3 linked regions of the Macaca mulatta genome follow. The protein of the gene in region 3 interacts with the protein of the main gene of each other region in a pairwise test. Links are inferred from orthologs where the notes say so. Each region holds a gene or a part of one and is shown on either strand. Other genes may lie near its edges.

Evidence for each region.
Region 1: the proteins of C5H4orf19 (region 3) and EIF3E interact in binary tests that used the Homo sapiens proteins (3 or more experiments, as listed by UniProt). The two-hybrid records come from large-scale screens. The link is inferred for Macaca mulatta from reciprocal best matches to the Homo sapiens genes PGCKA1 and EIF3E.
Region 2: the proteins of C5H4orf19 (region 3) and PDCD10 interact in binary tests that used the Homo sapiens proteins (3 or more experiments, as listed by UniProt). The two-hybrid records come from large-scale screens. The link is inferred for Macaca mulatta from reciprocal best matches to the Homo sapiens genes PGCKA1 and PDCD10.

What each region holds. Positions count from the first base shown.
Region 1 is NC_133413.1:118,487,379-118,495,693, forward strand, and holds part of EIF3E (eukaryotic translation initiation factor 3 subunit E), read right to left. Parts: intron 7,434-8,315; coding exon 7,319-7,433; intron 5,501-7,318; coding exon 5,383-5,500; intron 1,386-5,382; coding exon 1,343-1,385; intron 298-1,342; coding exon 193-297; intron 1-192. UniProt on the Homo sapiens protein: Component of the eukaryotic translation initiation factor 3 (eIF-3) complex, which is required for several steps in the initiation of protein synthesis.
Region 2 is NC_133407.1:79,300,054-79,308,368, reverse strand, and holds part of PDCD10 (programmed cell death protein 10), read left to right. Parts: intron 1-1,609; coding exon 1,610-1,727; intron 1,728-3,022; coding exon 3,023-3,149; intron 3,150-8,315. UniProt on the Homo sapiens protein: Promotes cell proliferation. Modulates apoptotic pathways. Increases mitogen-activated protein kinase activity and STK26 activity. Important for cell migration, and for normal structure and assembly of the Golgi complex.
Region 3 is NC_133410.1:36,811,024-36,819,338, forward strand, and holds the end of C5H4orf19 (PDCD10 and GCKIII kinases-associated protein 1), read left to right. Parts: intron 1-3,814; 5' UTR 3,815-3,836; coding exon 3,837-3,868; intron 3,869-5,071; coding exon 5,072-5,987; 3' UTR 5,988-6,674; downstream 6,675-8,315. UniProt on the Homo sapiens protein: Acts as a tumor suppressor. Acts as a tumor suppressor for colorectal cancer cell proliferation by targeting KEAP1/USP17/ELK1/CDK6 axis.

The sequences.
Region 1 (8,315 bases), on a different chromosome or scaffold from region 3:
TAAATCACCCTCCAAATTTTCAGGCCCTGAAACAAGGTTTCTGTTTTTCAGTGGTTTTCTTTACTTTTTTCTCTTTGGCTAATGACTGTTGAAAACTTAATGAACAAACGCAAATCTATATACACATTTTGAAGAACCAAGGGAATCTTACAAAAGACAAAAAAAAAAAAAAAATCAAGTACTTATACTTACCAACACTCTAAAAAAATAAAGATACTCTGCAGCTCCTGAGTAATTCCCACATTCGTACTGGAATTTTGCATATCTGTAGAGTGTATCTAAATATTCCTGCCTAAACTAAAAAGAAAAAAAAAAGATTAGGTTCTCTTTAATTCAGAGTTTTAAAACCCCATTGTAATTCGTAAGTCTTTGAGGTCAAAACTATGAATGTTTAATTCACCAACTTCTAATGTATATTTTAAAATCTATCTCTGATTATGGTATTTATTTTTGGTGGCAGCTTTTGGGCGACTTAAAGAACTGACCTCTGGAGTTTAAGAAGTAAATCAACGGGGGTTGTGCTGGGGGAGGTGGTTTCAGGATGAAACTGTTCCACCTCAGATTATCAGGGCATTAGTTGAATTCTCATATGGAGCGTGCAACCTAGATCCCTTGCTTGCGCAGTTCACAATAGGGTTCGTGCTCCTATGAAAATCTAATGCCTCCACTGATCTGACAGGACACAGAGCTCAGATGGTAATGCTTGCTCACCTTCTAATCACCTGCTCTGTGGCCCCCTGGTACTGGTCCATGACCTGGGGGGGTTGGGGACCCCTTAAATAATGAATTATATGCAAAGCCTCATGCTTTGAGTTAACACAAGGGAAATGAGATTGAGTGATGGTTAGGAAAGCTTCTAACATTTCTTTGTGAATCTGGGGACTTATAAAGACTTTGATAATTTCAAAGGCCATTGTGTTCCACAAGGCGGCCAAAGTATTACCTAATTCTATTGCTCAAAACATTTCTAATTCAAATTTCATTCTGTTTGCCTTACTTGTTAATCCATAAGAAAAGGCATCCTATGCCCTATAATATATAATACTTAGCTTGCTGTTGGCACTAATATAAAATGCCAACAACTACTGCCAGCTATTACAACTCTGGAATAAATAAAAGCTTTGAGAATTTCTGTTACCTAAAGGTGAGCTATAAGCACCTATTTTCCTATCAGCAACAATTTATAAAAACTGAAGTTTTAAAAATAGAACCAGATTTTATCATTAATAAATTAATCTGGAAATTATATTCTTAGGCCAAGCCATGAGCCTATCTGTACAAACCAGTCTTTAGTCAGCATTATTAAAACATAACAACTTTAAATTATTTTTAAAACACTTACACCATGCTTGTCCGCCAGGTAGTCAAAGAGCATCCTACCATCCCTAAATGATAATTAAAAAAAATTACAGTATTTTAAAGGCCACAGAAAACAATATAAGCATATCCAACTTCTAAATTATTACCTATGCAAAGTCACCTTAAATAAGTACGTAAACGTTATAAGACTTCCAGAATAAAATAAGCAGGACATTACATGTTTTGAATGTAAAGAATTAGTAAGTATACAAGGAGAGCTACAAACTTTAAAATTCACTTTCAGATGTCTTTAGTTCTAATTGAAAATTAGTGTTGTTTCACCACGACTAACGTAAGGCCTTTAGAAGTCTGTCAGGTAATAAAACCAGAAGATTCTGACTATTTCTAGTAAGGTCAGAAGTCTACTTAGTGGTAATCTATTAAGAATGGTTTTTGCTCTCTGTGGTCAGATTTCTAATAGATAATGCAGTCTAATTATAGAGACTGATATAAATGTACCATGTACAAACTACAAGAAACTAATCCTATATACAAATTTTGTCCCCTCTTCCAATCTGTTAATATTTTTCAAAAGGATGATTCTGACAAATTTACAAGATTAATAAATCATGCCTGGCTGGCCACAGTGGCTGATACCTGTAGTCCCAGCACTTTGGAAGGCTTTGGGAGGCTGAGGCAGGTGGATCACCTAAGGTCAGGAGTTTAAGACCAGCCTGGCCAACATGGTGAGACCCAATCTCTACTAAAAATACAAAAATTAGCCAGGCATGGTGGCGGGTGCCTGTAATCCCAGCTACTTGGGACGCTGAGGCAGGAGAATCGCTTGAACCTGAGAGCTGGAGGTTGCAGTGAACACAGATGGCGCCACCGCACTCCAGCCTGGGTGACAGAGTGAGACTGTCTCAAAAAAATTAATAAAAATAAAAAAATCATGTCTCATGTACATGACAGCTATGCTACATACCCTACATAATCATTAGGTATAACCAAGTGCCATATTTAATTTTTCTTAAATTAGCTTTGTGTTATCTTGAGATGCTGACAGACTGGTAAAAGACAAACTGATAATAAAGACATCAAGGGACAGGGGATATAAGGGTAGCTGCCCACCTTATGAGCATTTTCGTTGTTACTGTTTTTTGAGACGGAGTCTCACTCTGTCGCCCAGGGTGGAGTTCACTGGCACGATCTCGGCTCACTGCCACCTCCGCCTCCCGGGTTCATGCAATCCTCCTGCCTCAGCCTCCCAAGTAGCTGAGATTACAAGCATGCACCACCATGCCCAGCTAATTTTTGTATTTTTTTTTTGAGATGGAGTCTCGCTCTGTTGCCCAGGCTGGAGTGCAGTGGCGCGATCTCGGCTCACTGCAAGCTCCGCCTCCCGGGTTCACGCCATTCTCCTGCCTCAGCCTCCCGAGTAGCTGGGACTACAGGCGCCCACAACCGCGCCCGGCTAATTTTTTGTATTTTTAGTAGAGACGGGGTTTCACCGTGGTCTCGATCTCCTGACCTTGTGATCCGCCCGCCTCGGCCTCCCAAAGCGCTGGGATTACAGGCGTGAGCCACCGAGATGAAGTTTCACCATGCTGGCCAGGCTGGTCTCAAACTCCTGACCTCAAGGGATCTGCCCACCTTGGCCTCCCAAAGTGCTGGGATTACAGGTGTGAGCCACTGCACCTGACTGCATGTTCCAAAATGAAAACATTTTCTTATCCTTCTCACAGAAGAAATATGCTACAATGTATCTTAGGGAGCACAATTTTGCTTGAAGATTTAATGGGGTGAGATATGTCCCCATAAAAATATAGGTGTATTATAATACTGAGTATGAAATGTACATGAAATTCCAACACAGAAGAACTTCCACAAAAACTGAACACTTGCAGTGGATCACAGTGAATAACTTTGTATTGCACTACTTACACCACTCACGTATATAATCACTGTCCTCTGGCTGATTATTTCCGGGAAAGTGTTAAGTATGATACTATATGTTCAATGAAATTTAAAAAGGGGGAATTGCAAGAAAAAGGTTTTCACATTGAAAATAGGTAGTTTGTAAGTATAATAAGATTACAAGTTTTTAACACATGATCCTTTCATTTATCTCAAATTCAGTACCTATTAAGCTACAAGGATCCTCTTTTTCTAACTGGTGAACATATCTACATTCATCTTATTCATACTTTGATCCCATAACTCCCCAGTCTTTGAGTGACTGAACTACAACATCCTAAATTTTCTGTTGTAGTCTAACAACTGGATTATTTCAGGTGTCCCTTTGTAATCACCTACATGTGACCTGAAGATCTAAAACTACTTATTCTAAAAGCATACAAGTAGTTTAGTATAATATATAGTTCTGCCTATGCATGTAATGTGTGTGTATATATATATCTCTCTGTGTGCGTGTTTTCCTGCATATAGTCATCCCTTGGTATCCCCAGAGCATTAGTTCCAAGACCTCGCCTACCCTCTACTCACCAGCCCCCTCAAATACCAAAATCTGCAGGTGCTTAAGTCCCTTATGTAAAATAGCACAGTACCTGCATGTAAACTATACACATCCTCCCATATACTTTAAATCATTTCTAGATTACTTATACCTAACGCAACGTAAATATCATATAGTTGTTGTTATACTGTAGTTTTATTTGTATTTTTTATTGCAGTATTGTTATTTTTTAGGTTCTTCTCCTGAATATTTTCAATCTGCAGTTAGTTGAATCCACAGATGCAGAACAGAGAGTTGACTGTATTTATATGTAGTATATGTCATAGTATAGTATAGTATGCTATAGTATGGCACAGTAATTGTGTATTTGTTGCTTTTCTAAAAATATCTGGTAACATCTTCACAAATCACAAAGGAAAACTTAAGAGCCAATCTCTAAAAATTTGGTTTAAACACATAGAAATTAAAGGTATAACATGGCAAAATATCCAGCAATTCCTCAAGTGAATTCAATGGTAGCTAGGATTTATCTCAAATGATAATATTCAATTTTAGTAAGAGATTTTATTTTTAAATGTTTCTAATAACCCAAAGGACTTCTACCCGTGACATGTACTAAGTCAGAGTAAGGCAACATGCTTACGAAACAGTAAATCTACTTCCAGGTAAAGGGAAGTTAGGAATAAAATAATCTTATCAGCTCAAAACTACCCTCCTTGGGCGAGGCATGGAGCTTAGAAGGGTATGAAAGAATGTAGCCAGGAATAAAGTGAACTCAGGTTTCTCTTATAACGAGTTGTGCTCTAAAGCGCTAGGTATTGCACAGGCACAGGGTTTCTTTTTTATTTTTTCCTGAGATGGTATCTCACTACATCACCTACTTTGGAATGCAGTGATATGACACTGACTCATTGCAACCTCCACCTCCTGGGCTCAAGCCATCCTCTGACCTCAGCCTCCCAAGTAGCAAGTAGCTGAGACTACAAGCGTACGCCATCACGTCTGGCTAATTTTTTGTTGCTTTTATTTTTTTGGTAGATAGAGGGTTTCACCATGTTGCCCAGGCTGGTCTCGAACTCCTAGGCTCAAGCGATTCGCTTGCCTCTGCCTCCCCAAGTGCTGAGATTACAGGCGTGAGCCACCACACAGTGGCACAGCGTTTCTTAATGGACATTTTGAGTTAGGTAATTCTTTGTTGGGGAGTAGCGGGAGGGGTGCTGTCCTGTGCACTGTAGGATGCTTAACAGCATAACTGGTCTCTACTCACTAGGTGCCAATAGCACCCCCCAGTTATGACAGCCGAAAGTATCTCCAGACATTGCCAAATGTCCCCAGGAAGAGGGAAATAGGAGATGGAAATTCTGTAGCATAATCAGTACAGATAAGTACTAAAGAAGTTTTTTAAAAAAAAAAAAACAGTATTAATATTAATATTTATTAATTATACTGGCCCCTACAAAATAAGGATAAATGAACATTTAAAAATGAATAAAGCACTCATTTAAACCTATGAACTTTTACTGTGGGATACTGGATAAAGTTTGAATTAACATTTGTATTAATCCAGAAACGAGAATTTTTCGAATTCAAAATTAAGAAGAGTTTACCTGGTTGACTGCATTTGCCTCGTAGTTTCTGGATCTTCAAACATCTTCACAATTGGTTCTGTTTCTGCCTGAAGCTGTTTCAGTTGTGCAACCACTGTGGTTCTTTTCTCTCTCAAAGCTAATTAAAAATGCAAAAGAGTACTACAATGGGCATGTTAAAGTGTGCTACTCATCATGAGAATGTCTGGAAATTGTTCAGAGTATTTAAACCATACATACATTTACTCATCCCCAATATATTCATATGCCAGGGGCTACTCACTCAGAAGTGTCCCCCAATCCCTAATTTCTTTTTTCTAGTAATACAAAGCCACAAAAAGGAAAAGGGAATCCTCTTTCTACTCTTAAGGGTAACTGGAGAATATACAGCCTTGGGGTGACAGAGGTGAAAGAAAAAAAGGGTAGGACCCAATTATCTATCATTTAATTCTCCATTGCAGAAACTTCATTCCAAGGGTTTTTATATTTGTTCCCATTTAATTTTCTTAGGTGAATATTATCCAGGAGTTTTTGAACAAAAACTCTGAGGGGCTTACATATTACTATTACAGGCTATCCACTAGGTTGAATGGAATTTAAATCCATTAAATAATCTCTTTTAACTATAAATCCAGCTCTATAACCTCTCAAACCAAATTCTATTGTTCCTTTTACTATACGATGAAAAGGTGGAGAAAACTTGCACATAACCAACTCTGGTAACACCTTAATGTTTCATTAAGAAACTAAGAAATAGGCCGGGGGCAGTGGCGCCACGCCTGTAATCCCAGGAACTTGGGAGGCCAAGGCAGGCTGATCACGAGGTCAGGAGTTCGAGACCAGCCTGGCCAATATGCTGAAACCCCATCTCTACTAAAAATATAAAAATTAGCCAGGCATGGTGGCGCGTGCCTGTAGTCCCAGCTACACAGGAAGCTGAGGCAGAAGAATCACTTGAACCTGAGAAGTGGAGGCTGCAGTGAGCCAAGATCACGCCACTGCACTCCACCCTGCCTAAGAGTGAGAGACTCTGTCTCAAAAAAAAAAAAAGAAAAAAGAAACTAAGAAACAGTTTCCTTTTTGTTTATATATGACAAACTAAAGAAGAGCTACTGTTGTTGCAGGGAACTACAAGTCAAACAGGTGGATTATGTTTAATGTAATAATTTCTGCATTACATATTAGAAAGTATATTCTAGAGCAGTCTTTCTCAAACACAGGAGAAGATCTATGATCAAATTTTGAGAAATGCCAATTTAAACAGAGTATACTGTATTTCTCTACTGCCAGAATTCTTGGAATCTTTAAAAATGTAATGTGCATTGAAGAAATGACACAGAAGTATTTCCCAAACCTAGAGAACCACTTTTTTTTTTTTTTTTTAAGTAACGTTACCACAGAAAGCAAGGGTTTGGAAAACACTGTATCACAGTAGTTCCCCAACTTGAGTGCTAGGCCTCACTTAACAGTTTTGATTAAGTAGGTCTGGTGTGTGGTCAAAAACCTGCATTTCTAACAAGCTCTCCCAGGTGAACTGATGACGGTGGTCCTGGGGACCATATTTGGAGAACAATGTCTACACTAGATGCCTCAAAATTAAAATAAAATAAAAATCTCTAAGGCACACAATGCAGTAACTAAAAAAGGTAGCAACCCAAGAACTGCAACATTCTCAGAAAATTCTAAGGAATGTGAATCATAAGCACAACTTTGATGATACATACTATGAACTGAAGGTATCTGATGACCATATTTTAAAGTAGTTCCACATCTTTCACAGGGAAAAAACAATACACTTCAGAAGACATGAAACCTTTATATAACCTCTCACCCAAAGAACATTAACATTCAAATAATAATTAAGTCTTTTGGCTAAAGCTCTCTTATAAATCATAAAACTTTAATACACATATCCTCAAGTCACAAGACAAGCTTCAATTCTAATGACAAAACTTACCATGAGGAATATCATCAGAATAAAGGTTTTTGTATACATCCATAGCAAAGTCTACCATGTTGGTATCACTAAGAAGGTCCAATTTACCTTGTAATAATTCCTTTTCATTATATATCTGAAAAAGAAGATAACTTTCTAATGAATATATTTAAGTCCCCCAAATAAACTGATTAATACTAAGACTAATTTACCTGGAAATATATTTCAAGAAATACTTTATAAAATATGATAAACTATTAACTTCCCCCTCTTGTAATAATGGCAAGCAATATGGCAAGCAAACAACCTACAGACATAAAAGTATTTTACTTACCTAAAATTTTTAAAATGAAGAGAATTACTATAGACATTCCAACCTCCTTCTGATTTATATGATCTTATTTTTTATATGTCCCTACAAACCATCTCTTATCTTTTCTAGGCAAGGCTGTGGATAAACAAAATCCACACCATCTTTTCTGTAAAGCAGAAATAGCTGTCACCTCTCCATATCCAGGTAATCAGTAATAAACTCTAACATGCTTCTCCATCCACACTGCTGAAACAAAAACTGCACCGATTTTTTAGGTCAACCATATCAGACCAGGCTTTTGCTTTGCAAAGGGTCCAAAAAATATAATTTAACCTATAGTACAGGCAGCAAATAGATACATATACAAACTCACATCAACATGAAGTGTGCTGAGTAATATATAAAGATTCTACAAAATATTCAGGGACATAAATGCTTCAGCAAAAGAAGAGATTTCTGTACTGAACTTAATTTTGCAAGGAAAAAAAATCCAGGCAAATGCCACAATATTTCACTGCCCGCAAGAAGATGAAGGTGGTCAAATGGTATTTAGCCATAAGAGCGAAACCGAACCTTCCAAATTACATGCAGAACTCCTATAAATGAGTAAGACAAGACAGCCCATGCAATTGAAATGGCTAAAAGATAGGCACTTTGCAAAAGAAGACAACAAAATGGCCAAAAAACACATGAAAAGGTTCTCAA
Region 2 (8,315 bases), on a different chromosome or scaffold from region 3:
GTGCAGTGGCATGATCATAGCTCGCTGGAGCCACGAACCCGTGGGCTCAACCTCCCAAGTAGCTGGGACCACAGCCACACCCCACCATGCCTGGCTAAAAAATAGATTCTTTTTGAAATATACGTGGAAGGAAAAGTCATCATAGGCTATAAAAGAAACAGGGTTCAGTCAGACACAGTTTATTGTTATTAATCATTTATCAAAATCAAAATGATTTTCCTGAATAGTATTTGACAGCATTTAAAATGATCCCAGGATTGAGATTGAGATAAATGCTTGTATTGTCTTTTCTCATTTCATCCCACGACCCTTCAGTTTTTGATACTTGAGATCTAATGAGAAGCAAGATGTTATAATGGAAAGAGCAGTAGGAAGAGAAGAAAACTGTATCTGCAGTGATAATCAGTGGAATTGAAGAGGCAGAGGTTAAGTGTGCTTGACACATAAGGAAACAAAAAGATTGTCTTCTGATTAAGATCGTAAATTGTGTTTCTATTTTGTTGTTTAATATTAGGGCAAAAAGGAAATTCATCAGCATAATGATTAAAATTGGCAGGCTTCCTAAAGGAAACAAACATCAAATGTGATTACAGAATTTACTGGGAAAAACTGAAATCTGAAAATTAACTCTGGCTTTGGTAAACTGAGAACTCTATGCAGAGTCTTGAAATGGCTACAAAATTTTAGTGTCCTGGGGAGTCTAAGTCTAAGTAACATAGAACCAATGCAAACTCAATGAAACAAGCTCAAAAGGTAGTAAAAGTTTAATGATGTTCTAGAAACCAGTGAAGGAAATATTCTTGCTACAAAAATAAACTAGGAAATGAAAATCATTGTGTGGGAAAATAGTTAAGATATTATTATATAGGTTCAGTAAAACCTTTGAAGTAAATCCTTTTTTATTTTTCCTGGCATTCTCTTAATATAAATGAAAAGAATATGCAAAATGCTAGTCAGATGGGTTATTGCTTGATCCTTGAATTGCAATATTAGTGCATTAGGCCAAGACGGGCGGACCACGAGGTCAGGAGATCAAGACCATCCTGGCTAACACGGTGAAACCCCATCTCTACTAAAAAATACAAAAAATTAGCCGGGCGAGGTGGCGGGCGCCTGTAGTCCCAGCTACTCGGGTGGCTGAGGCGGGAGAATGGTGTAAACCCGGGAGGCGGAGCTTGCAGTGAGCTGAGATCCGGCCACTGCACTGCAGCCTGGGCGACAGAGCGAGACTCCGTCTCAAAAAAAAAAAAAGCTTAAAAAATTCTCAAGATATTTCAAGTAATGAGAATAGTAATTGATAGATTACTAAAACATATCTAATCCATATATCTTTATTAATTCAATTGCAAGAGAGTGTAAAGAAGGTATAGAAAACACTAAGTTCTTTCTATTCAAATGGAAAATGGAACCTTAGTCATAATAAAGAGTTGGGTGCACAAGCTCTAACAAAGCCTTAGTGAATGCCATCATGACACCTGCTTTACAAAGATTTCTGCCCTTAAAACTTATCAGTGTAAGACGTTCCCAAAAGATTCTAAACAGTTAAACTTTGGCTTTAAAATGTTGATTCCTTATCTGTATTTCAAAACTAGTTTTCTCTTTATTATAGGCTGAAAAGGAAAATCCAGGTCTCACACAAGACATCATTATGAAAATTTTAGAGAAAAAAAGTGTAGAAGTTAACTTCACGGAATCCCTTCTTCGTATGGCAGCTGATGATGTAGAAGGTATCAGAAAGAAGAACCTTGCTTAAATTATACAATTGTTGAATAGCACTTCCTCTAAATCATTATTATTTGACTAAAGGAACTTCCTTCCCTACTGTTCCCCCCCCCCCACCCCCCGCCTGCCTTTACTTACGATGATGCTGGTGGTGGTGGTGGTGGTGGTAATAGTAGAAGTAGGAGTAGAAGCTAATCTAGATAAAATAGAAAAATTGTTTTTCTTGCTTTTTATATTTGTGAGATTTAATTACTTGAACTTTGTTTATACCTCATTCTTTAATTTTTCCCCCTTTATGTTTGATGAGTTTCAGTTTTACTAAAAACCTTTTAGTAAAGCTATTTGGAATGTGTTGACTTTAAGCAAACAATAGTTTGGAAGTAATGAGGTTTTTGTTTGCTTGTTTTTTTAACTTTAGTACAGCATCTTTTTTTAAGCACAGATTTAAGGGAACAATATAACCATGCTTTTCTTATTTTTTTACTTCAAATTATTTAGACATTGGTTTTACTTTAGTAGAAGTTCTCCCACTAATTTAGAAAAACGTGGACACACGATTTCCCATAATTATTAAGGGAGAACAAAAAGCAGATATTTTAACTGATTCCATGATTATAAAAAAGCCCTTATCATTATTTAGAGTTGAGCATTTGCAGCCCATTAGGCCATTATATATTGATGAATTGGTAGATTTGTAATGCTTCCAAGTCTGCAATGAATCTGGTAAAGTCTGATTGAACCTCCTTTCCAAAACTGCTGTTCTGTGATCCCAGCCCGTGTGTTGGATTTGTGCTAATGTTTTTGTTTTTAAGTGAGATTTCAAGAATATGTAGAAGATTTTATTAGATTATTTGGGGTTTTAATATAATGAAGCAATGTATATTTAATATAGGGGTTTAGAATTTTTAATCTTTCTAATTGGAAAGTAGATATTACCTTTGCGCTAGTTATGACACTCATTATTTAATTTAAGGTTTCCTTGGGAAATGTAAAGCCTGCCTTTTCAATCTGTTTTTTTGTTTGTTTGTTTGCTTTTTTTTTTTTGTAAGATTTCATGGGATTTCCTTTTATCCCAAATTGAAAATATTTGTATTTTCTTTTTCTGATACTTTACTTGAAGGGAGCCCTGCTGTTATTACTGGACTAAGTCGAATGTTAATGAATTCTACTTTGCAACCTTGTCTTTCCTATTTATCTGGCCTTTCACCTCCCCCACCTGCCTTTGACCAACATTGGGAATTCTTAGAAGTGAATTTGGCAGAGTCGCAGGATGTTTTTTATTATGTATTTATTTTTTCAGAGTATATGATTGAGCGACCAGAGCCAGAATTCCAAGACCTAAACGAAAAGGCACGAGCACTTAAACAAATTCTCAGTAAGATCCCAGATGAGATCAATGACAGAGTGAGGTTTCTGCAGACAATCAAGTAAGCAATTTTTTGTTTTGTTTCTTTTCTTAAAAGTACTTCCGAGGAACTATTCATCTACATTTTTTAATTTTGGTATGACATTAACTTGAAATGCTAATTTGAAATAAAATCTCGAATTGTTAAATACTGCATTTTATTAACTTTATGGCATTTGGTTTCAGAGTACAACATTTTTTAGAGTGTTTAATTTTAAAACAATAATGAAATGTGCGTAAACTGGAATGTAGTTTGAACTACATAAATGATGGGAAAATATAAATGTCAGATAAATGGAGAAACTGGATATATCCTAGAGATTGGTAGTAAGAGATACCAAAATTGTTTTTATTTCAGAAATGGCAGCAGTCATTAACGTAAGTAATGTACTCTTAGGCATGAGTAGCATTTTCTAAGACTGACCAAGTAGCCTCTAAATCCTTGCCTTTGGGGGATATAGGTTAAATAAGACCAAGAATATGCAGGGGCCAGGAGGCTGGCTGGTGAGCAGCAGGCAGAAGGGTCATCCTAGAGAAGTAGTTCTCAGACCCGGGACACCCTCCTGGAGTACAGTGAGGAGTGAGAGGGTAGGGGATTGGGTGAAAACATAATCCCTACATAAGTATCTTTAAACTAGAGAGTATGATAATTTTCTTCAGCCTCAGTGAATAGAAAACAAAGCTGGAAATACTTGCAGTGTCACTATCAGTGCATGGTTTTGGTGAAACCATAGGTGGATATTACTGGGAAGGAGATTTAGCACAGGTCTTTTTCTGGAAGAGGCTCTGACATATTTGGTAACTTTGAAGAACCTAAGGAGACTCAATTGGAATAAATAGTAACATTCATCTTTTGGAGATTGGGCAGTGGGAGGAGTGGCAGTAGCCAGGCAGCCCAGCTTCATGAAGGCCCTCAGTATGCCTTGGCCCACATGCATCCGATATGTGCCTTCCCCACTTCCAGGATGCCCAAGAGGACTGTCAGCTCAGCTGACAGGACAGTGAAGGAAAAGCCCAGAAGGAGATGGATATGGTTGTCAGCTAAACCTGCTCTTTCAGTAGTGGAAATGAATCCCCAAAGGGTAGCAGGATAGGATAAATCTTCAGGTAAAAAAGCGCAAACAAAAGAAAAGAATAGCAAAGTGAAAACAGGCCAAAGTGGCTAACCAAGAATATTTACCTGCGGAAAACAGAAAAACTAAAACTGAAGAGAGTCCAGCCTCTGAAGCAGGAGAGAAAGAAGCCCAGTCTGATTAATATCGCATACCATGTCTTATCAGTGGTTCCCCGTCTCTCTTCTTACATAATCCAGAGGAATATTTTTATCAACTATGTTGTAAATGCAAGTTTTTTAGTAACTCTAGAAACATTTAAGGAGTAAATTCCACCTCATCCCATTTTTTCGGTGTAAATGCTTTTTTTTTTTAAGAGGTGAAATAATGTAATTTGTGGTTATTTTTTGGTACAATGAGAAAATAATGTTGGATATTGAATTATGGGAAGCCTTGATTGTTATGGGTGTCAGCTTAACATTCCATAAATGGGTGGTTAGTTTTTATATCCCATAATACAAAGCATACTAAATGGCAAAGTGGAGTTGCAGTGCTGCGTTTAATGTCTTGAACATTTTTAATTACTCACTCTGTCACCCAGGCTGAACTGCAGTGGCGTGATCATAACCTACTGCACCCTCAACCTCCTGGGCTCAAGCAATCCTTCCACCTCAGCCTCCTGAGTAGCTAGGACTACTAGTGTACACCACCACACTAGGCTAATTTTTTTTTTTTTTTTTTTTTTTGATATTTAATAGATACCACGTCTCCCTACATTTCCCTAGCTGGTCTCTAGCTTCAAAGCTCAAGTGATCCTCCTGCCTTGGCCTCCTAAAGTGTTGGGATTACAGGAGAGAGCCACCACACCTGACCTTAAATTACTTCTTCCTGTTGTTTTTTAGTGGAATTATTTCCTTGGGCAAACCACTCCTTGAGCCTGGCTCTCCCTTTCAGAATTGTGTGCACTCTGTAACATCTTTGGTCATGGTAGTCCTGTTTTTCTAATAATTTTGTTAATGTGCTGTGAAAGATTAAAGTATATAGTGTATATGCTATTAAATTGTGAATTGGTGGGATGTATGTGACAGCTTATCAACATTTGAAGGTACTGGTACTTGATAGCCTCTGAAGGAAATTTTGCCTCAGTTGTAAGCTGGAAAGTCACTGGAATAACTTTAAAGAATAATAAGGATACGTGGCTTTTTAGATTTTGCAGTACGTATGTTCAGAATTGTGTACAAGTTGAAATGTCTGTGTACTGATCCTCAACACAACAGATAAAATCTCAATTATGAAAGAAAAAGAAAACATTCATCTTTTGAAAATAGTATTCTTTGTCGTTCACATTGAGAAATGCTATTTTAGCTTGTTTGGATACCTAGCTAGTTTGGATACTATCTTTTGAGTCACATAAAGAGAGGAATATGTCCCCTAGAAAATAATGGTGTGTGATAGGTATGCCACCCAGCTATCAAGGAATGACCCTACTCTTTGACAATAATTAAGTACCAGGAATGTGAAAAAGGCTTTTAATTGAATAGCCAAAATCTGTGTCACAAGGGACAAACCCTAAGGATTTTTTTATTTGTTTGTTGGGTTTTTGTTTTTGTTTTTTCGAGACCGAGTCTTGCTGTGTCGCCCAGGCTGGAGTGCAGTGGTGCTATCTTGGCTCACTGCAAGCTCCACCTGCTAGGTTCACACCATTCTCCTACTTCAGCCTCCCAAGTAGCTGGGACTACAGGTGCCCGCCACCATGCTCGGCTAATATTTTGTATTTTTAGTAGAGACGGGGTTTCACCGTGTTAGCCAGGATGGTCTCAATCTCCTGACTTTGTGAGCCACCCACCTCGGCCTCCTAAAGTGCTGGGATTACAGGCATGAACCACCGCACCCAGCCTATGGGGTTTTTTTTGTATTCTACCTTTCCTATAGGAAAGCCCCAGCTTCCTTTTCTGCTTTTAATATGTGAAGGGGGAAGGTAATCCACTGTTTATGGAGTTTTATTTTTAATCTGGTACAAGTTGAGCATCCCTAATTTGAACATCAGAAATTCTAAATGCTCCAAAATCCGAAACTTTCTGAGCACCGTGACATGACACCATAAGTGGAAAATTCCACGTCTGACCTCATGTGATGGATGGATTGTAGGCAAAACACAATCAAAACTTTATTTTATGCACAACATATATGCATATATGGATGCACTTTATAAAACATAAATGAATTTCATGTTTATACTTGGGCCTCATCCCCAAGTCTAAAGACTTCTGGTCTCAAGCATTTCATTTAAGGGGTACTCGCTGTGTATAAAGTAAATATGTTTGGCCTGTAAAAGGATAAAGTCAATGATCCCAAACTTGATTGTTTAGACTATTTATTTCTAAAGTTTTCAAATAATTTGGTAAGTTTTCATTTGCATTGATAATCATGGACTTGTTGATGAGCCATGATACATTTCTATGAAGATTTGACATTTAAAATAATATTTGCAGCAGATTTTGCTTCACATCATCAAAGTACATTTATATAATCAATGTCATCTTAATAGCAATCACTTATATAGTACTTATTATATGCTAAGCACTATTTTAATCATTTTACATATATTTACTTATCACAACAACCCAGTAACAAGTGAGGAAATTGAAGCAGGCACAGAAAATTAGGTAAGGCCACAGACCTTACCTATTAAGTGGTAGAGCTGGATTTGAACCCAGGCAACCTAACGCCAAGTTCACTGCTGTTTCCCAATCATCGATTTACAATGTTGATCTAATTTGGAGATTGAAAAATAAAGTTTCTGCCATTTGAAAGAAATGTGATAAAGGATATTTTAACATAGGATGCCAGTACATGAGAGAGATAACGGTGTTGTGGTTGAAGCTGAGATAGAAGTGTAGGCCCAGAGCCCTCATCCTGTCACTTTGACATCCTCTTTCCCCCTACAGAGTCCCTGAGACATCTCTGCTAAACCGTGACTCTAGGGAGCTACCGTTTGAAAACCACATTATTAACAGCACATTTTAGTCATAAGGAAATTGAGCTTAAGAGTCTTGTCCATAATCATTGACAGAGACTTTCTGTAGGATGTTGTTTCATTTATGAGGGAGTAATAATACTTCAGTTCTGTTGTCTAGAGTGTACTCATTTAGCATGATTGAATTAAGGGTAATGGTGGCAATGAAAATTTACTTCCTAACCATTTGAGGAGGGATAATTTACCCTGGCAAGTTTGTTGATATGTATGTTATTTCTGAGACTAAAATTCAACCACATATGAATAGCATAGATAGGCTAAGGTATAATTATTTGTATACTGTCATATATTGGTACATTTTCATATATGTTCTTACCACTATTAATTGACAAATTAGTGGATAAAATTGCACCAAGATAGAAAATTATTTCTCCTTTAGGCATTTCTCAAATATTTTACTTTCTTGTATCTAAGGTAGTTATCCCCTTTATTCACTTTAGCAACATTTTTCAGTAAGCATATGTCATACACATATTACACCAAGTACTATAGGTGATGCTGTAGATTGTATCAAAGTACAAGTAAAAAAGATTCCTGACACCTAATAAATATTCAGGCAGTTTTGAATATATTAGCAGACCTAGATTTGAATCTCCATTCCAACATTTAGCTATGTAACCTTGGATATAAGTTGCTTAACTTCTGTCATTTTAGTTTGTGCCTCTGAAAGTAAGGATAATGACTTGGGAGAATTGAAAGAAATTATGTACATGAAGTGCCTAGCACAGAACCTAGCATACATTCAACAGTACATGCTATAATAGCGTTGTGAAATGAGAATTTTCCTCCCTTTTCTCAACGGAGTTGATTAGGAAAAATGATCCAGCAAATATTTTAAAAGGCCTTTTTTTTTTTTTTTTTTTTTTTTTTGAGACGGAGTCTCGCTCTGTCGCCCAGGCTGGAGTGCAGTGGCCAGATCTCAGCTCACTGCAAGCTCCGCCTCCCGGGTTTACGCCATTCTCCTGCCTCAGCCTCCTGAGTAGCTGGGACTACAGGCGCCCGCCACCTCGCCCGGCTAGTTTTTTGTATTTTTTAGTAGAGACGGGGTTTCACCGTGTTAGCCAGGATGGTCTCGATCTCCTGACCTCGTGATCTGCCC
Region 3 (8,315 bases):
TTCCTTCGTCTTTCCTCCCTCTTTTCTTTCCTCCTTTCTTTTGCCTTCCCCTGTACACCTTTCGAATTCACCATCGTAAAGTTGACCTGAGATTTTTCAATGAGTAATGTTTTATGATTGCTTCAGTTACATTATTACAATCCAGTCTGCCTTCCTTGTTTCTCAAACACTTCTAAGCTCTTTTCTCCTTTTCTTTGACCTTTTTGTTTGTTTGTTTTTACTACCTATCCTCCTGACCAGTTGTCATTGTTTGTTGGTTTGTTTACTTTTAAGGAGTCCAAGATAAACAAACTATTGCAGGCATGAAAAGGGTCAAGATTTCAGAGTGAATTGTGGAGGGGGAGGGTCAGGAGGGGAGGGGAGAGGAGAGGTGTTGAGGGAGAGGAGGGGAGAGGAGAGGAGTGGAGGGAGAGGAGGGGAGAGGAGAGGAGTGGAGGGAGGGGAGGGGAGAGGAGAGGTGTGGAGGGAGGGGAGGGGAGAGGAGATGTGTGGATGGAGGTGAGGGGAGAGGAGAGGTGTGGAGGGAGGGGAGGGGAGAGGAGAGGTGTGGAGAGAGGGGAGGAGGTGCATGTGCTGCTTCTCGCCTGTCCTATTTATCCAGCTCATCTATGAATTATTAGCAGAAAAGGAAGGTAAAGGAAGAGTAGAGGCTGGGGACAAAATCCTGGGCTTTTGAAATGGGGTAATTTAAGAGTATTCTGAAAGGTACAATGTTACACATGTGTACACAGTCCATAGAGAAAGTGATTTTTCTCTCTATGGGACTGTTGTTTCAACTGTTGTCACAGCTGATAGAAATATGCCATTTAGCCCTTATTCCAGAACCAAGTCCTACTTGACATTGTTAATACTCTTGTTTGTATCCATAGGTTCTGGCAACTAGATTACATCTTTCTTGGATACTAGACCTCCATCTTTTTCTTTTGATGGGGGTGGGGGGTGTTTTAATATGCTGTATCCAAACAGGGGTGGGTGAGACACCCCTGGTCTATGTTTATTATGAATGTTTGCTCATATGATCCCCAACAACACCACATAGTAGAAATATTATTATCCCCATTTACAGATCAAGTGACTGAGGCCCAAAGTCCCATAGTAGCAGGGTTTTCTGTCTCCTGAGCCCACCCTCGTGACACCTGGGTGACGTGGCTGGCACAAACTGGAAATGTCTTGATTGGTTGCAGACACACAACAGGTTCACTGATAGTGCTCTCATTTTTAATCTATAGCCATTAAATCGTTCATTCATTCCACATGTATTGACTGCCTGCTGTGTGCCAGGTGCTATCCTAAGTGCTGAGGATTAGGCTTGAAGAAGGGTGGAAAAGGTGGGTCACAAACAAACCTACGACAGAATGTCCAGTGGTGACACATGCTAGGAAGAAAACTGAAGCACAGTAAGGAAAGAAAGGGTGGCAAGAGATGCAGGGCTGGCCCGAGGGACTCTTCCGCATTCCATGAGTCCTCCCAGGAAGAATTGGAAGGACAAGGGGGGTTTGGTCCTCAAGCATGAAGTGATTTGGGGATGTTACTAGTTTTCTGTGCTGCTGCAGCAAATTACTACAAACTGAGGGGTTTAAAACAATGGAAGCGGCCGGGTGCGATGGCTCATGCCTGTGATCCCAATACTTTAGGAGGCCGAGGTCGGTGGATCACCTGAGGTCAGGAGTTCAAGACCAGCCTGGCCAACATGGTGAAACCCCATCTCTACTAAAAATACAAAAATTAGCTGGGCATGGTGGCAGGTACCTGCAATCCCAGCTACTCGGGAGGCTGAGGCAGGAGAATCACTTGAACCCAGGAGGCAGAGGTTGCAGCGAGCCGAGATCATGCTATTGCACTCCAGCCTGGGTGACAGAGTGAGACTCTGTCTCAAAAAAACAAACAAAACAAAACAAAACAATGGAAGCATATTCTCTCCCGGTTCTAGAGACCAGAAGTCTGAAATTGGTATCAGTGGGCTTGATCCAGGGGTGGGTATCAGGGATCAAGGTGTCACCAGGGCCACACTCTTTCCAGAGGCTCCAAGGGTAAATCTGTTCCTTGCCTCTTCCAACTTGGGGGGCTGCCAGTGCTCCTTGATTTGTGACCTCCTTGCTCCGATCTCTGCCTTTTTGATCACATTGCCTCTTCCTCTTCCTCTTCTGTCTATAATCAAATGTCCCTGCACCTCCTTCTCATAAGCATTTATTTAATTGTATTTAGAGTCCACAGATAAACTAGGCAGATTATACCATCTCAAAATCCTACACTTCATCACATCTGCAAATACCTTTAATTTGCGGACTCAGGTGACATATGAGGTATTATTTACAGGTTCCAGGAATTAGGATGTGGATATTTGGAGGCCATTTTTCAGCCTACCATAGGGAGTTATTTGTGGATTTTATTTTTTTAATGTAAATCTAGTCCCTTTTAACTGACCAAGCCATCTATACTTCTTAAAAAGCACCAATCATGTTCACTGTGGGCAAAAGCTTATGGAGCAGCATCCCTGGAAATTCATCCATGATTGAAAGAAGGAAAGAGGGACAACAGGGGAGACAGAGACACAGCCAGCAATGAATGATCTCTCTTTCTGGTGCCTGTGTTTCATGGAGACAGGGGACTGGGGATGCAGATTCTGTTTTGGCTTGTCTTTTTAAAGGCTGTAGGCCCGGCACAGTGGCTCATGCCTGTAATCCCAAACCTTTGGGAGGCCAAGACAGCCAGATCACTTGAGATCAGGAATTTGAGACCAACATGGCCAACATGGCAAAACCCTGTCTCTACTAAAAATACAAAGATTAGCCAGGCGTGGTGGCACCCACCTGTAAACCCAGCTACTTGGGAGGCCGAGGCAGGAGAATCGCCTGAACCTGGGAGGCGGAGGTTGCAGCGAGCCGAGATTGCGCCACTGCACTCCAGCTTAGGCGACAGAGTGAGACTGTGTCTCAAAAAAATAATAACAATAAAAGCTGTAGACTTTAGAAATGAGAAGTAACTTAGAGATGCTTCCATACTCACTTTTAGGATATTCTGAGGAAGGAAGAGGCGAACATGGTCAGTCTTATATGAAGAGAAGATTTTGTTCCAAAGGAAATGATCGGGAAAAGCCCAGCTTGGGGAGGGGCCAGGGAACAGTGGGCAGGTGGGAAATGAATTCCACCTTCTGCCGGGAAGCCTAAGGGGGCATATCTTTGAGCTAAAAAGAACAGGTCCACGAATCAGAGTTGAGATGTTGAGATTGACCCAGCGGCGGGAAAAGCAACACAGGATAAATTTAGTGTGGTTGAAGCTTGTGCAATGATTCAGGCTGTCACGCTCCTCAGTGTCTGAATCATGGGACACAATAGATCCGCCAGCTTATTCCAGCATCCTTTAACCCTTGAGGAGCAAATGCCCTGGCAAGGAGCCCGCTCAGAATCTCCTCCCGCTCCTGCTGCTGCTGCACAGTGGGCTGTGCCCTGGTGAGGTTCCTGTGTCCTCTGTAGAAGGTAACAGATTAGGAAATGGCAGAAGTCCCTTCTCTGTCTAGCATCCTTCCACCTTCTCATCTGTAAAATGGGGATGAAACACAGAACCCCAGGGTTGGGAGAAAGGTCTGACACAGAGGCAAGTGTCAGTGAACGTCTGAGAACGCTGAAGCAGTGATGGAAATGGGGTGTTCCTGGTTACCAGCGCCCTCTCTGACCCATGTGGTAGTTACCCTTTTGCCAAAGTGTGTGACTATTAATACACTTTGAGTCTCTAGGAAAAAAAAAAAAAAAGCAAACTTAATTCCTACTAAGAGATCACTCACTGTCTTCTCTACCTTTTACGCTTTCTTTTCCAGGTGGTAACAGAAAACAATCCAGATGGGGTGCAGGTGCTGTAAAATAATACAAAGGTAAAGCTGGAGAAATACTACTTCTAAATGGAGGAATTTGTGATGAGCGTGGAGTCACTTTTAAAGACCATGCATGTATTCAGAGCATTTATCCAGCTTGGGGCATGATCGACATTGCCAGCACATTAAGAGTTTGGAACTGTTATCATATCATTGAAAAGAACATGTGCCCTAGATTTTCTTAACTTTTTTTGCTCACTTCTCAAAGCATGTTGGGAACACCATCATTTTCTGAGGCTGAATTTGGTCTGGGTTTCTGAGGATGCCTGAAATGGCATCGCTGAAAATAAATCACCCCAATCACATATGTGCTTTTAATTTTGTCCACACTGCATTTCATAAAACTGTGAGTAACATGAACATAAACTTCTAACTAAGATAAAGGGAAGAAAAGTAACTGATGATCTTGCTTTCTTAACAAATATACTGTCTTTTTAATTGTAGCTCTATTCTAGACCCATACATAAATAAGCTTTATTCCACTGTAATCATAATGTGATGTTTGGCTTTATTCAAAAAATATGTATTGTAAGTATCATTCCTGTGACTGCAGACTTCATATTTATCATTTTAATGACTGCATAATATTCCACTGAGAGGGTATACTCCTTATGGCCCTATTAGTGGACACTTGTTTTATTTATTGTTTTTTGTTTTAAAATTCTATGAACCACTTTGTATTTTACTTTACCCCCTAACCCTCCTTCCTCCTTTTGGCTCTCTTCTTAAGATGTATTTCCGGCAGAACCTTGTTTTTGTTTTTCAAGACTGTCCTGCTCTGTCATCCAGGCTGGAATGCAGGGGCGTGATCTCAGCTCACTGCAGCCTCTGCCTCCCAGGTTCAAGCGATTCTCCTACCTCAGCCTCCCGAGTAGCTGGGATTACAGGTGCCCACCACCACACCCAGCTAACTTTTGTACTTTTAGTAAAGATGGGGTTTCACCATGTCAGTCGGGCTGGTCTCGAACTCCTGACCTCAAGTGATCCACCCGCCTTGGCCACCCAAATTGCTGAGATTACAGGTGTGAGCCACCGAACATTTTTATACCAACTATATCTATTTGATTTAGACACACTTATCTAGGTTGAAAAGAGTAATGACAGAAATTAAATTAGCAGGTTTCGTAGAAAGAAGCAGGGCCTGTGGTAAAAATCTTTAATGATGGAGCAGACCTGACTGGTTTTTCGTTGTCCTCCCTGCAGCTATCTCTTTGATCCAGTTCAAGTGTCCTCTCCTGGCTATGTCAATGAAGTCAACAGCTGCAAGCTAGATGAAGACGACACTGATAAATTAAAAGGCAAATGGAACAGTGAAGTCCTGGTGCAGAAAAATGACTCTCAGAGGCAGGGCTCAAAAAAGACTGAGAGCAGCAGCAGGACAGCTAACCCACGGGAGCCCTGCTGGCCTCACCAAGGGCCGCTCCCGCAGGGGGATGTTGGAGGGGAACACCATGCCTGCGGCATCAATGGCATCGGCCCTGCTGCCGCTCCACAGCCCGCTGGGAATCCCAGCCCTGCCCAGGATGACAGGGGCTCCTGGACCAGTACTGAAAATACTGGAGTTCCCCCAACTCAACCCTTCCTGGAAGGAGGGGACACCAGGAAACAGGACTGTGTGCTGCTGGCCTCAGAAGGAACCCAAGTCATGAGAAATGGAGACTCCAGAGCTCCTTCTGAGGCAGAAAGTTTTGCCTTAGAAGTACAAGACCGTGTCTTCCAGATACCAGCCCCAGATTACCTTCAGCATTGGGGTCCAGCCGGAGACAACATTGACCATAATGAAAAGGACCGTGTTTTCAAGAACCATACTGAGGATGAGTCCCTTGAGGGAATTCAGCCCACAGTGGGGGAGCGTGGTTTGAATACGCCCTTCTCTGGGAGGAGAAGCTGGGATTCATTGAATGAGGATGTGGAAACAGAAGTTCTAAGCATCTGCTTTAATGAGAAGGGTCCTGCTCATGCCATGCCTGTGGTTGACTCAGGAAACAGGCAGGAGGATGCCCATGGCTCCAATGGAGACGGAGATGGGGAGATTGTGGACGAGGATGCAGCGGTGGCGGAGGCCCTTGCGGCTTTAGAAGCTGCTACTGCAGGAGAAGATTTGGATGAGGCTGATTAGGGGAGGGGATTTGCACAGGGAGGTAAGCTGGTGTCGTGCTGAGCATGCAGATGCATTTGCTCCCTGGATGCAGAGCAGGTGATTCTCCCAGCATGCACCAGTGCAGCCTGACCAGTTGTTTACATCCAGCATCTGTTCTGATTGTCAGCATCTGTCCCATGCTGCTTGTCATATATCTGGAGTTTCACTCTGTGTCGATGAGCTGTCATTCAGGACACTAGGAGAAAAATCTGAGTGGGTCATTGTGCCCATATCCACAGAAAGTGCAGAAATTGAACAGCTTGCTTGACAACCCTCAAACATCTTTGAGCACCTGGTACAGATGTTTATGAGAATACTCTAAGATCTCAACCCTTGATCCCAAAGGCACACAATCACAGAGGATTCCTTTTGACTGTAAACTGTTTACCTTGCTTTTGAGAGCCAAACATTGTACCCAACCTGGAAAAAGTAACTACCCCAATTAAAGTGCCTCATGTGTCCCCAGAGCATGGCTTAACTTCAGGGACAATTCACCCAGGGAACTAAGAACTAACCAGTTGTTCAACAGCGGGTTAAGCTCAGCAGTTTTCACAGTAGAGCAGAAGTCCTCAGGAAACAAAAGGTTAGTCATTAGCTGAGATGTGATTTTAAAACACCTTGACCTTAACTTTTTTGCATTATTACTTTTGAATCTCCTTTGGGACTGGGGAGGCTGGCCAAAATAGTCTTAAAACTGCTTGTGTCATATTTGGGTTTTAAGTTCATGACTTTCAGAACAGCAAAGCCATATATGCAATGTTTTTATGCCATTAAATGTCTGACTCTAATTAAAATATAACAACGTATGTGTCTTTCTGTCTTAACTCAAAGGTGGTTCTAATTTTCTCAGAATATCAGTGACCCTAGATATTACTTTCAATGTAAAGAGCTAATCTAGATGGCCGGGCGCGGTGGCTCACGCCTATAATCCCAGCACTTTGGGAGGCCGAGGCGGGTGGATCATGAGGTCAGGAGTTCGAGACCAGCCTGGCCAACATAGTGAAACCGCGTCTCTACTAAAAAATACAAAAAACCAGCCGCGCGAGGTGGCGGGCGCCTGTAATCCCAGCTACTTGGGAGGCTGAGGCAAGGAGAATTGCTTGAACCCAGGAGGTGGAGGTTGCAGTGAGCCAAGATCGCGCCACTGCACTCCAGCCTGGGCGGCAGTACGAGATCCCATCTCAAAAAAAAAAAAAGAGCTAAGCTAAGCACAGTGGCTCATGTCTGTAATCTCAGCACTTTGGAAGACTGACGTGAGAGGACTGCCAAGGCCAGGAATTCAAGACCAACCTAGGTAATTTAGCGAGACCCCATCTCTATGGAAAAAAAAAAAGAGCTAGACTACAAAATTATACTCAAAAAAGGGACCAAGTTGGTTTGCAGAGCCATGACTTTGGCTTTCTCTCTCTCAAGTTAAACTTGATGCCATAACTAAGTGTCCTGATCTTATCACAAAGATGAATTAAGCCCTCTCTGGATTTCAGCCTTCTAATTCATTGAAACAAGGTTAACCATTCTAACATAACTCAATGGAGAATTTAAAGGCATTAAGCATGCTCAAAACTATTTAGAAAAAAAAATAAACATGGAAGATGCTTTAGTTTGGTGTTTTGTAACACAGAATTGAAATTGAACTTCGTTTGATTTCCAGCTTTGCCATGCGACTTTGGGCAAGTTATGTATCCCTTCTCTTTACCCATCTGTGAAGTGAGAATAATAAGAGTATGTGCTTGTAAAGATTAAATGAAATGATGTGTTTAGCCCAGTGCCTGGGACACTAGGCACTCAAAAATGATGTCTTACCGGTTGAAAACAATTCCTTTAAAAAACATTTTTACATCCTCACAACTGAAAACTCTAATACTGGGAGGTGTATATATGTCATTATTTGATTTTGATAATTATTTAGTATAAAACATGATTTCTGAGCCTTCCAGCACCTTTAAGGATGGCACCCTTACAAATGCTTAATGAACATATGTTACCCTGGGTTTGTTTGGTATTGTAATGACAAGCCATCGCAAGTGACCTCTATATACAGGGTCACTCAGAGTCCTTCAAAAGATAAACTCTTGGCATTGTTAATTGCATTAGAGGTATGTCTCCTTTTGTATTTAGTACACCAAATACTTAATATTTCAGAATGCTTATTCCTTCAGTGACTTCCTAAGTGTATCAGTTGGGATTATGTTCGGTTGTATGGGATGAGTGTTTTATACAAATAGAGGTTTATTTACCTCCTATGTAAGAGAAGTCTGGAGTTAGTGATCCAGGGTGGCAGATACAGGGTATCACGGACCCGTGTAT